2 linked regions of the Macaca mulatta genome follow. The protein of the gene in region 2 interacts with the protein of the main gene of each other region in a biochemical or structural test. Links are inferred from orthologs where the notes say so. Each region holds a gene or a part of one and is shown on either strand. Other genes may lie near its edges.

What was found. The genes of interacting proteins can lie anywhere in the genome.
Region 1: the proteins of TLN1 (region 2) and ITGB3 form a complex in vitro, tested with the Homo sapiens proteins (6 studies listed by BioGRID and IntAct, with this or other methods). The link is inferred for Macaca mulatta from reciprocal best matches to the Homo sapiens genes TLN1 and ITGB3.

What each region holds. Positions count from the first base shown.
Region 1 is NC_133421.1:71,587,359-71,591,405, reverse strand, and holds part of ITGB3 (integrin beta-3), read right to left. Parts: intron 2,255-4,047; coding exon 2,088-2,254; intron 1-2,087. UniProt on the Homo sapiens protein: Integrin alpha-V/beta-3 (ITGAV:ITGB3) is a receptor for cytotactin, fibronectin, laminin, matrix metalloproteinase-2, osteopontin, osteomodulin, prothrombin, thrombospondin, vitronectin and von Willebrand factor.
Region 2 is NC_133420.1:63,971,256-63,975,302, reverse strand, and holds part of TLN1 (talin-1), read right to left. Parts: intron 3,931-4,047; 5' UTR 3,901-3,930; coding exon 3,771-3,900; intron 3,540-3,770; coding exon 3,442-3,539; intron 3,178-3,441; coding exon 3,048-3,177; intron 2,943-3,047; coding exon 2,790-2,942; intron 2,550-2,789; coding exon 2,407-2,549; intron 2,295-2,406; coding exon 2,167-2,294; intron 1,140-2,166; coding exon 1,079-1,139; intron 439-1,078; coding exon 334-438; intron 18-333; coding exon 1-17. UniProt on the Homo sapiens protein: High molecular weight cytoskeletal protein concentrated at regions of cell-matrix and cell-cell contacts. Involved in connections of major cytoskeletal structures to the plasma membrane.

The DNA.
Region 1 (4,047 bases), on a different chromosome or scaffold from region 2:
AAGAGCATCTTACAGTGACTTCCTCAGTCCTTCCCTACCCTGAATGTTTAAAATTCATCTCAGAAGTTTTCCCAAGGTACCCTTCTCTGGAATACACCATAGATGAAACAGAATAATGTTCATTTTACTCCCACTTTAGTTCTTGGCATGGGAATCGATAGGAAATAACAGGAGGAGATGAGATAGAATGCCATCCTGCCACCATTTCTTCTTCTTATTATTATTATTGTTTTAGACAGGGTCTCATTTTGTTGCCCAGGCTGGAGTGCAGTGGCACAATCTCGGCTTACTGAAACTTCCACCTCCCCTGACTTAAGATATCCTCCTACCTCAGCCTCCCAAGTAGCTGGGACTACAAGCACACACCACCATGTCTGGCTACTTTTTACATTTTTTTGTAGAGATGGGGTTTTGTCATGTTGCCCAGGCTGGTCTCAAACTCCTGAGCTCAAGCGATCCACCTGCCTCAGCCTTCCAAAGTGCTGGAATTATAGGCGTGAGCCACCACACTCATTCCCTGACACTATTTCTAAGGAGCTAAATTCAGCCTATCACTCTTCAGTGATCCCACAGCATTCAGGAATAGAACTTCTCCTATTTCACCCCGTGTCCCCCTCTCTTTTGCACTTCTCCTATTTTCCATTCCCTGTGACAGCGATGGGAGATGTGGACAAGGACAGAAATGTAGCAGGTGGAATTCAGAACACAGAGGAAAGCTTTTGCTCAAATAATTATTAATTTGTTTTCATCTCATCTGGCCAAGCACTAACCATGGCCAGGCATGGTGGTTTATGCCTATAATCCCAGCACTTTTAGGGGCCAAAGTAGGAAGATCACTTGAGCCCAGGAGTTCGAGACCAGCCTGGGTAACAGAGTGAGACCCTGTCTCTACAAGGGAAAAAAATACAAAAGTTAGCTGGCTGTGGTGATGTGTGCCTATAGTCCTGGCTACTCAGGAGGGTAAGGTGGGGGGATCACTTGAGCCCAGGAGATTGAAGCTGTACTGAGCCATGATGGCACCATTGCATTCCAGCATGGATGACAGAATGAGACCCTGTCTCAAAAAAAGAAGGAAGGAGGGAAGGGAAGGGAAAGAAAAGGAGGGGAGGGGAGGAAGGGAAGGGGAGGGAAGCAAAGGAAAAAGGAAGGGGAGGAGAGAGGAGGGGAGGGAAGAGGAGAGAAAGAGAAAGCACTATCCACAAACTGTCATGTTATCAGGAAAAAAACCCTCACTAGGTTTCCCAAACTATTTTCCAACAGAAAGTAACAAATCCTATACGGTCTAGTAGTCCTTAATGGTGGTTTCAAGAAACACATTCTTGGCCAGGCGCGGTGGCTCACGCCTGGAATCCTAGCACTTTGGGAGGCTGAGGCAAGTGATCATGAGGTCAGGAGTTCGAGACCAGCCTGGCCAACATGGTGAAACCCTGTCTCTACTAAAAATACAATAAATCAGGATAAAAGAGTAAAGTCTGATTTGGAAGTAACCTTTTATTTTATTTTATTTTATTTTTTTTTGAGACAGAGTCCTGCTCTGTAACCCAGAGAAGGGTGCGATCTCCACTCACTACGACCTCCACCTAATGGTTCAAGCAATTCTCCTGCTTCAGCCTCCCGAATAGCTGGGATTACAGGTGTGCACCACCACATCCGGCTAATTTTTATATTATTAATAGCACCACATCCGGCTAATTTTTATATTATTAATAGAGACGGGGTTTCACCATGTTGCCCAGGCTGGTCTCGAACTCCTGAGCTCAAGTGATCTGCCCACTATGGCCTCCCAAAGTGCTGGGATTACAGGCACGAGCCACCAGGCACGAGCCACCAGGCCCAGCCTGGAAGTAACCATTTTATTGAGGAGAAAGAATAGAATGAGGTGGAATGACATCCTGCCACTATTTCTAAGAGGCTAAAGGAAGCTGAAGGACAAAGGGACAGTGAGACCATCTCTCCCCGTTTCCAGAACAGAGGATAACAGAAAGACAATCGTGCTGGCTGAACCTGACCACCCAAAGCATCTGTTGCTTCCACATAAGGGCCTCAGACCAATGACTTTTTAGAAAAAGCCCAGCCCAATCTCTTACTGTGTCCCATTTTGCTCTGGCGCGTTCTTCCTCAAATTTAGCAAACTCTTTTCGGTCGTGGATGGTGATGAGGAGCTTCCAGATGAGCAGAGTGGCAAGGCCGATGAGCAGAATGGCCCCCATCACTGACAGCAGGACCACCAGGATGTCAGGGCCCTTGGGACACTCTGTGAGGAAGAAGCACAGAGCAGGTGGTTGTGAATGAAGCAAGAATCACTTGAACTGGCTATGAATAAGGTGTTCTTGACAAAGTAATTAAGGTCCTTGAAGGAAATAGGACAGTTTTCAAAAATTAATTTTTTTACAGAGACAATCATTAGGACAGCAATAATCTGTGCTGAGTGACTCAAATCAGAAGTCTAGACCTGGTAACCCCTAGACAGAACCCAGCCACACCTTTGTGTGGGGGTTCACCCAAGTGTTTATTTTAAAAATTAAACACAAAGAAGAGAACAACAGACACTGGGATCTACTAGAGGGTGGAGGCAGGGAGGAGGGTGGGAATCAAAAAACTATCTATGAGTCACTATGCTTATTACCTGGGTGATGAAATAATAGGTACACCAGACCCCCATGACTCACAATTTATCTACAGAACAAACCCACACATGTACCCCTAAAGCTAAAATTAAAGTTTTTTAAAAAAATTTAAAAATAAAAAGCTGGGTGTGGTGGCTCACACCTGTAATCCTAGTACTTTGGGAGGCCAAGGAGGGCAGAGCATCTGAGGTCAGGAGTTTGGGACCAGCCTGGCCAACATGGTGAAACCCCGTCTCTATGAAAACTACAAAAATTAGCCTGGCATGGTGAAGCACAAGAATCACTTGAACCTGGGAGGTGGAGGTTACAGTGAACCGAGATCACACCATTGCACTCCAGCCTGGATAACAGAGCAAAATTCCATCTCAAAAAATAAAATTAAATTAAATTAAAAATTAAAAATTGATTTTATTGGCAGTATTGAATAATCAGGAGATTCTCCCCCGAAAATTTCATATTAGTCTCTTTAAAAAGAAAATCCAGGCCAGGCACAGTGGCTCATGCCTATAATGCCAGCACTTGGGAGGCCAAGGCAGGAGGATAGCTTGAGTCCAGAAGTTCAAGATCAGCCTGGGCAACATAGTGAGGCCCTGCCTCTACAAAATTGTTTTTTTAATTAGCCAGGCATCGTGGCATATGCCTGTAGTCCCAGCTACTCAGGAGGCTAAGGTGGGAGGATCATTTGAGCCTGGGAGGTCAAGGCCATAGTGAGCCATTATCATGCCACCACTCTCCAGCCTGGATGACAGAGGGAGAGCCTATTTCAAAAGAAAGAAAGAGAGAAAGAGAGAAAGAGAAGGAAGGAGGGAGGAAGGAAGGAAGGAAGGAAGGAAGGAAGGAAGGAAGGAAGGAAGGAAGGAAGGGAGGGAGGGAGGGAGGGAGGGAGGGAGGGAGGGAGGGAGGGAGGGAAGGAAGGAAATCCAAAGATTTAGAAACACTGACACCTATATTCCTGCAGGGCAGCAGCTAGCTACAGCTGAGGAGGAGCTGCTCCTTTTACTTGGAATGCATATTTTCTAGTTTACCAGAATCCCCACCACTCTCCCTTCTCTCTCCTAGAGGAAGGCAGTGTGATTTGTTGGTGTGTCTGTGCTCCTGTGGACGCTAGAGCCAGACTCCCTGGGTTTGAATCCTGACTTATCGCTTAACTTTGATACATGATCTTTGGAAAATTACTTAACCTTTCTGAATGTCTGTTTCCTGTTTCTCCATCTTTAAAATGAAGATAGTAATAGCACTGACTTTAAAAGAAACTTGTTATGAGGAATAATTAAATTAAATATATCTTAAAAACTCAGAACAATGCCTGGCACAGAGTAAGTGCTCAGTAAATATCAGCTACCATTGTAACTGATCTTTTTATATCCAGCTGTTTTCACTAACTTACTTGCTTCCTTAGCCACTGTAAGTATTTGTGTCT
Region 2 (4,047 bases):
TTCCCTTTCATTTTTTCCTATGAGGCAGAGGTTGGTGCTGGTGTTACAGGTCAGAGGTCAAATGAGAGGTGAATGATCAGATCAGCTTGCAGCCATAGGGGATGTTGAGGTGGCCCGGAGGGCTAATAGACAAGGGAAAATGCAGAGTAGGGAGGGAAATGGTGGTGGAGGGCTGACGACAGGCAGTTTTTCATGAGGTCAGAGCAAGGAAGAGAATGAGGAATCTTAGGGAATGGTGGGAAATGTGACTGAGGGCAAGGTCAGAGACTTTCAGAGACAGAAAAGGGCAAGAGTGGGAAACAAGGAGGGCAGTGAAAAGGGTCTATAACCTACCTTCACCAGGAAGAAGGAGACACCGTAAGTCTTGAGAGAACGGGCTAGCTTCACGTAGCGGACCTTGGCCTCAATCTCACTCATCTGCCCACAATTCTTGTGTGCCTGAGCATAAAACGGGGAAGAATTTAGCAAATAGTTTAATATCACAGCTAAGGAATTAAGGTTGGATGCTAATTACAACAAGAGAGAATTATGGGGAGACTGGAAAGGTTGAGGAGTGCAAGATATGAGAATGAGACCGCAACGGGATGGAGACTGATAAGGGCTATGCAGAAGCAATGAGTCGAGGGATACAGTCAAGGAACTTGTAGACATTCTGGAGATATGAACAGAGTTCGGAAGCAGAAGGGCAAAGAGAAGGCCTTTTGGGCTGAGTATTCAGAGTAGGGGGTAACATCTTATACATGGACAAAGACTGTACTCTTCCACAGTAATTTCAGATTATGCTACCTCATTTGATCCTCCTATCAGTCCTACACAGGGCAAATACTGTTATCCCAAATTAGAGAGAAATAAAAGAATACAAGAATATTGAACTGAATTGCACAGCAAAAGCAGGGATGGAGCTGAGACTAAAAGCCCAGGTTATCTTCTTTCTTGGCAGAGGTGAGGTGGGATAACAGTCTGGTGGGTGAAAGCTGAGTTAGGGGAGACAGGGAGGAGGCGGGGGGCCATTTAGTCAGTAAGATTAAGCAGCAAAGCTCCGCGGTCATCCCAAATACTTTCCCCTACCCACATTCACCTGGAAGATCTTACGCTCTCCCTTCTGCTTCACATACTCCTTGGGCAGGAAGTCCTTCAGGCTACACCAGAAAAGGGAGGGTCAGCATGTGGTAGACAGCATCAGGGGACATGTGGGCCATGAACTGTGGGCCTGGGGGTATGAGGAAATACCTACGACAGTGTTATCTTTGGGGAGAAAACAGACTCTTAGGGAATAGAGTCTAGATTATCTTCTGAAATAGAGGTGACTTAGTGTAAACTCTTCTTTTTTTTTTTTGAGATGGAGTTTCGCTCTTGTTGCCCAGGCTAGAGAGCAATAGTAGGATCTCATCTCACCAAAACCTCTGCCTCCCAGGTTCAAGTGAATCTCCTGCCTCAGCCTCCTGAGTAGCTGGGATTACAGTCATGCACCACCACGCACAGCTAATTTTGTATTTTTAGTAGAGATGGGGTTTCTCCATGTTGATCAGGCTGGTCTCAAACTCCCGACCTCAGGTGATCTGCCCGCCTCGGTCTCCCAAAGTGCTGGGATTACAGGCACGAGCCACTGCGCCTGGCCAGTATGAATTCTTAACGTAACCTGTGTCTCTCCCTGTAGGGAAAGGGACTGAGGAAAATTAAGTTAGAGGCTCAGTCCCTGAGGGAAAGTGGGTCTAGAGCACCATTTTAGGGAACCAAGACGAGAAAGAGCTTTCCAGAAGGATGACCATGCACTTAGGAAGCTGAGAAAGCCACGCCAAACTCTGCATTCCAAGAAACACCAGCAGATGAGGCTTGTGAGACTTTTAACCCACGTTCCCTATAGGGAAAATTTTACCCTGTTTCCCTCTGGCTACTGCAGCAAAATTCTTCAGACAATCTCAAAAAAAAGTGACATGCTTGCTTCAGAGATGGGGGTAGGGGCAGAGATACTGAACTACATTCATATTCCAGAGGTAGAGAAGAGACAGTGGATGATGGCAACTAAAAGGGTACCTATGTCAGTCAAACCCTGGTACCTCGGAAGAAGAAACAGGGGGAGCAGGCTTGGAATGGAGACAGGCCCACTGGGGTCACAATGGCAGGGAGTGCTGGGCCCTGACAGGGTGTAGGATGTGGGTCACTCACTCGAGGAAGCCAGCCTTGTGTTTCTGCTCATTGTGGGGCCCAAACTGGATCTGGCATTGGAAGCCAGCAAACTCACAGGCCTTGTCAAAGGAGACAGGGTGGGAGCCATTCAGGATGTCATCTCGTGCCTGGAGAGCACAGGGCAAGGAGGCAAATGTTGTGTGTGGGTGCAGGGACACACACACTGTGCTTCCGACCCCTCCTTATTCCTGCCCCACCCCAGCCAAGTCCTCTGCATACCTGCACATACAGGAGGTTCAGCTGTACGGGGTCCCGGGAATCCACATTCTGGTCTGAGTAAAAGAACTTCCTCCGCAGCAGCAGCGTCTCATGCTCCTCTACACCCTGCTCCCTCAGTGTCCGGCCATGGTCCAGCCAGTTCACTGGGATACAGACAGTCCCCTCAGTGCCAAACCCCCATGGCCCCTGTGTTGTCTGGTCTCTGTTTACTTCTCCACTTCCTACCTCTCCTTACTTAAATGTAAGTTCTGTGAATGTAGGACTTTGTTTTCTTACTGACGTATCCCCAGGGTGTAAAACAGTGCCTGGCAGAAGCACAGAAGGCTAAAGCCCCTTCCCACCCTTCCCATTTCAAAAGCCCTCTTTTTTCTGGTTCTGCTTACACTCGTCATCTGTGTGTAATTTCTGCTTTAATTTCTCCATCTTCTTTTCATCTCGCAGCAATGTCTTGTCTTTTCTTAAGGTCCCTGTCACTTCCTCCTTTTTCTCTTCCATCAGCTCTCGAACCAATGAATATTCATCATGGTTGGTGATGCCTGGGGAAGGAGATGGCTTGTTAGCTTCCCAGGTACTACATCAATGCCTTTTGAGAGAGCTGAGGCCTTCTGGCCCAGGCCTTCAACTGTACTGGGGCCCCTTACCAATGCGGGCACAGATGGTCATGAGCATGTCAGTGACAGTCTTAGAGTCATCCACCATGATCGTCTTCACAGTTCCATCCAGCATACGGATCTTCAGGGGTCTCTGTTTCTTCCTGTACTCCATAGTGTCCTGTTAGGGTAGGAAGAAGAGACAGGGGCCTACTCTGAGCTAAGGATATTATTTCCTCTTTACACAGCCTGAGGGGAGAGAGTGGAGCACTGAAAGGAAAACTATGGTGGTTCATTCAAAAGCAGGGAATTATGACTGTCTGTTAATAGGAAGAAAGCATGGGGAGGGCTAAGAGACAACAGATGTGGGTGCTGAAAACAGGAGGTGGAACAGGGAGAAGCTGATGGAAGGGGATGTGGTGGTCCTTGATGAAGGGATACTTACCCCATTTCGGAGCATGTAGTAGTCCAAAGCTTTCCCAGCCTCCAGCCATATACCCTTTTTGGGGTCATCATCTGACAGAAAGAGCCCAAAGTCGCTGGCTAAAAGAGAGGATGGATCACCTTAGGCTTATGAAGACTCCAATGCGGCTGAACAGCTTGTACCATGTTGCCCCTATTTCTCCCATGAACTTAGGCCTAAAGAAGGAGGGAACACAGACCTGAGGGGTGAGTAGTCTTAGGGGACAAAGGGGTCAACTCTCAAGGCCGAGAGCCTGGGAACAAGAAGGGACTGAAGACTCCCACTCCAGCCACCTGGGGAGTCAGACTCACGAGGACCAGCCGGGGCCTCTGGGATCCGCTCACGAATGATGCGGCAGGCGTCGTACACCATGGTAGACGGCTCAAACTGCATCGTCTTCACCACATTCCCAATGCTGATCTTCAGCGAAAGTGCAACCATGGTGGCGGCTTTTCTCCAGCCTGGCTATACCTGGCCCATGGCATCAGGGCATTAGAATACACTCTTCTGGTGGGAGAAGAAGCCCCCCAGATGGTGGAGTCCCAGGGAAGAGTGTTTTTGAAAGGGACTCACCAAAGTAGATAGTAA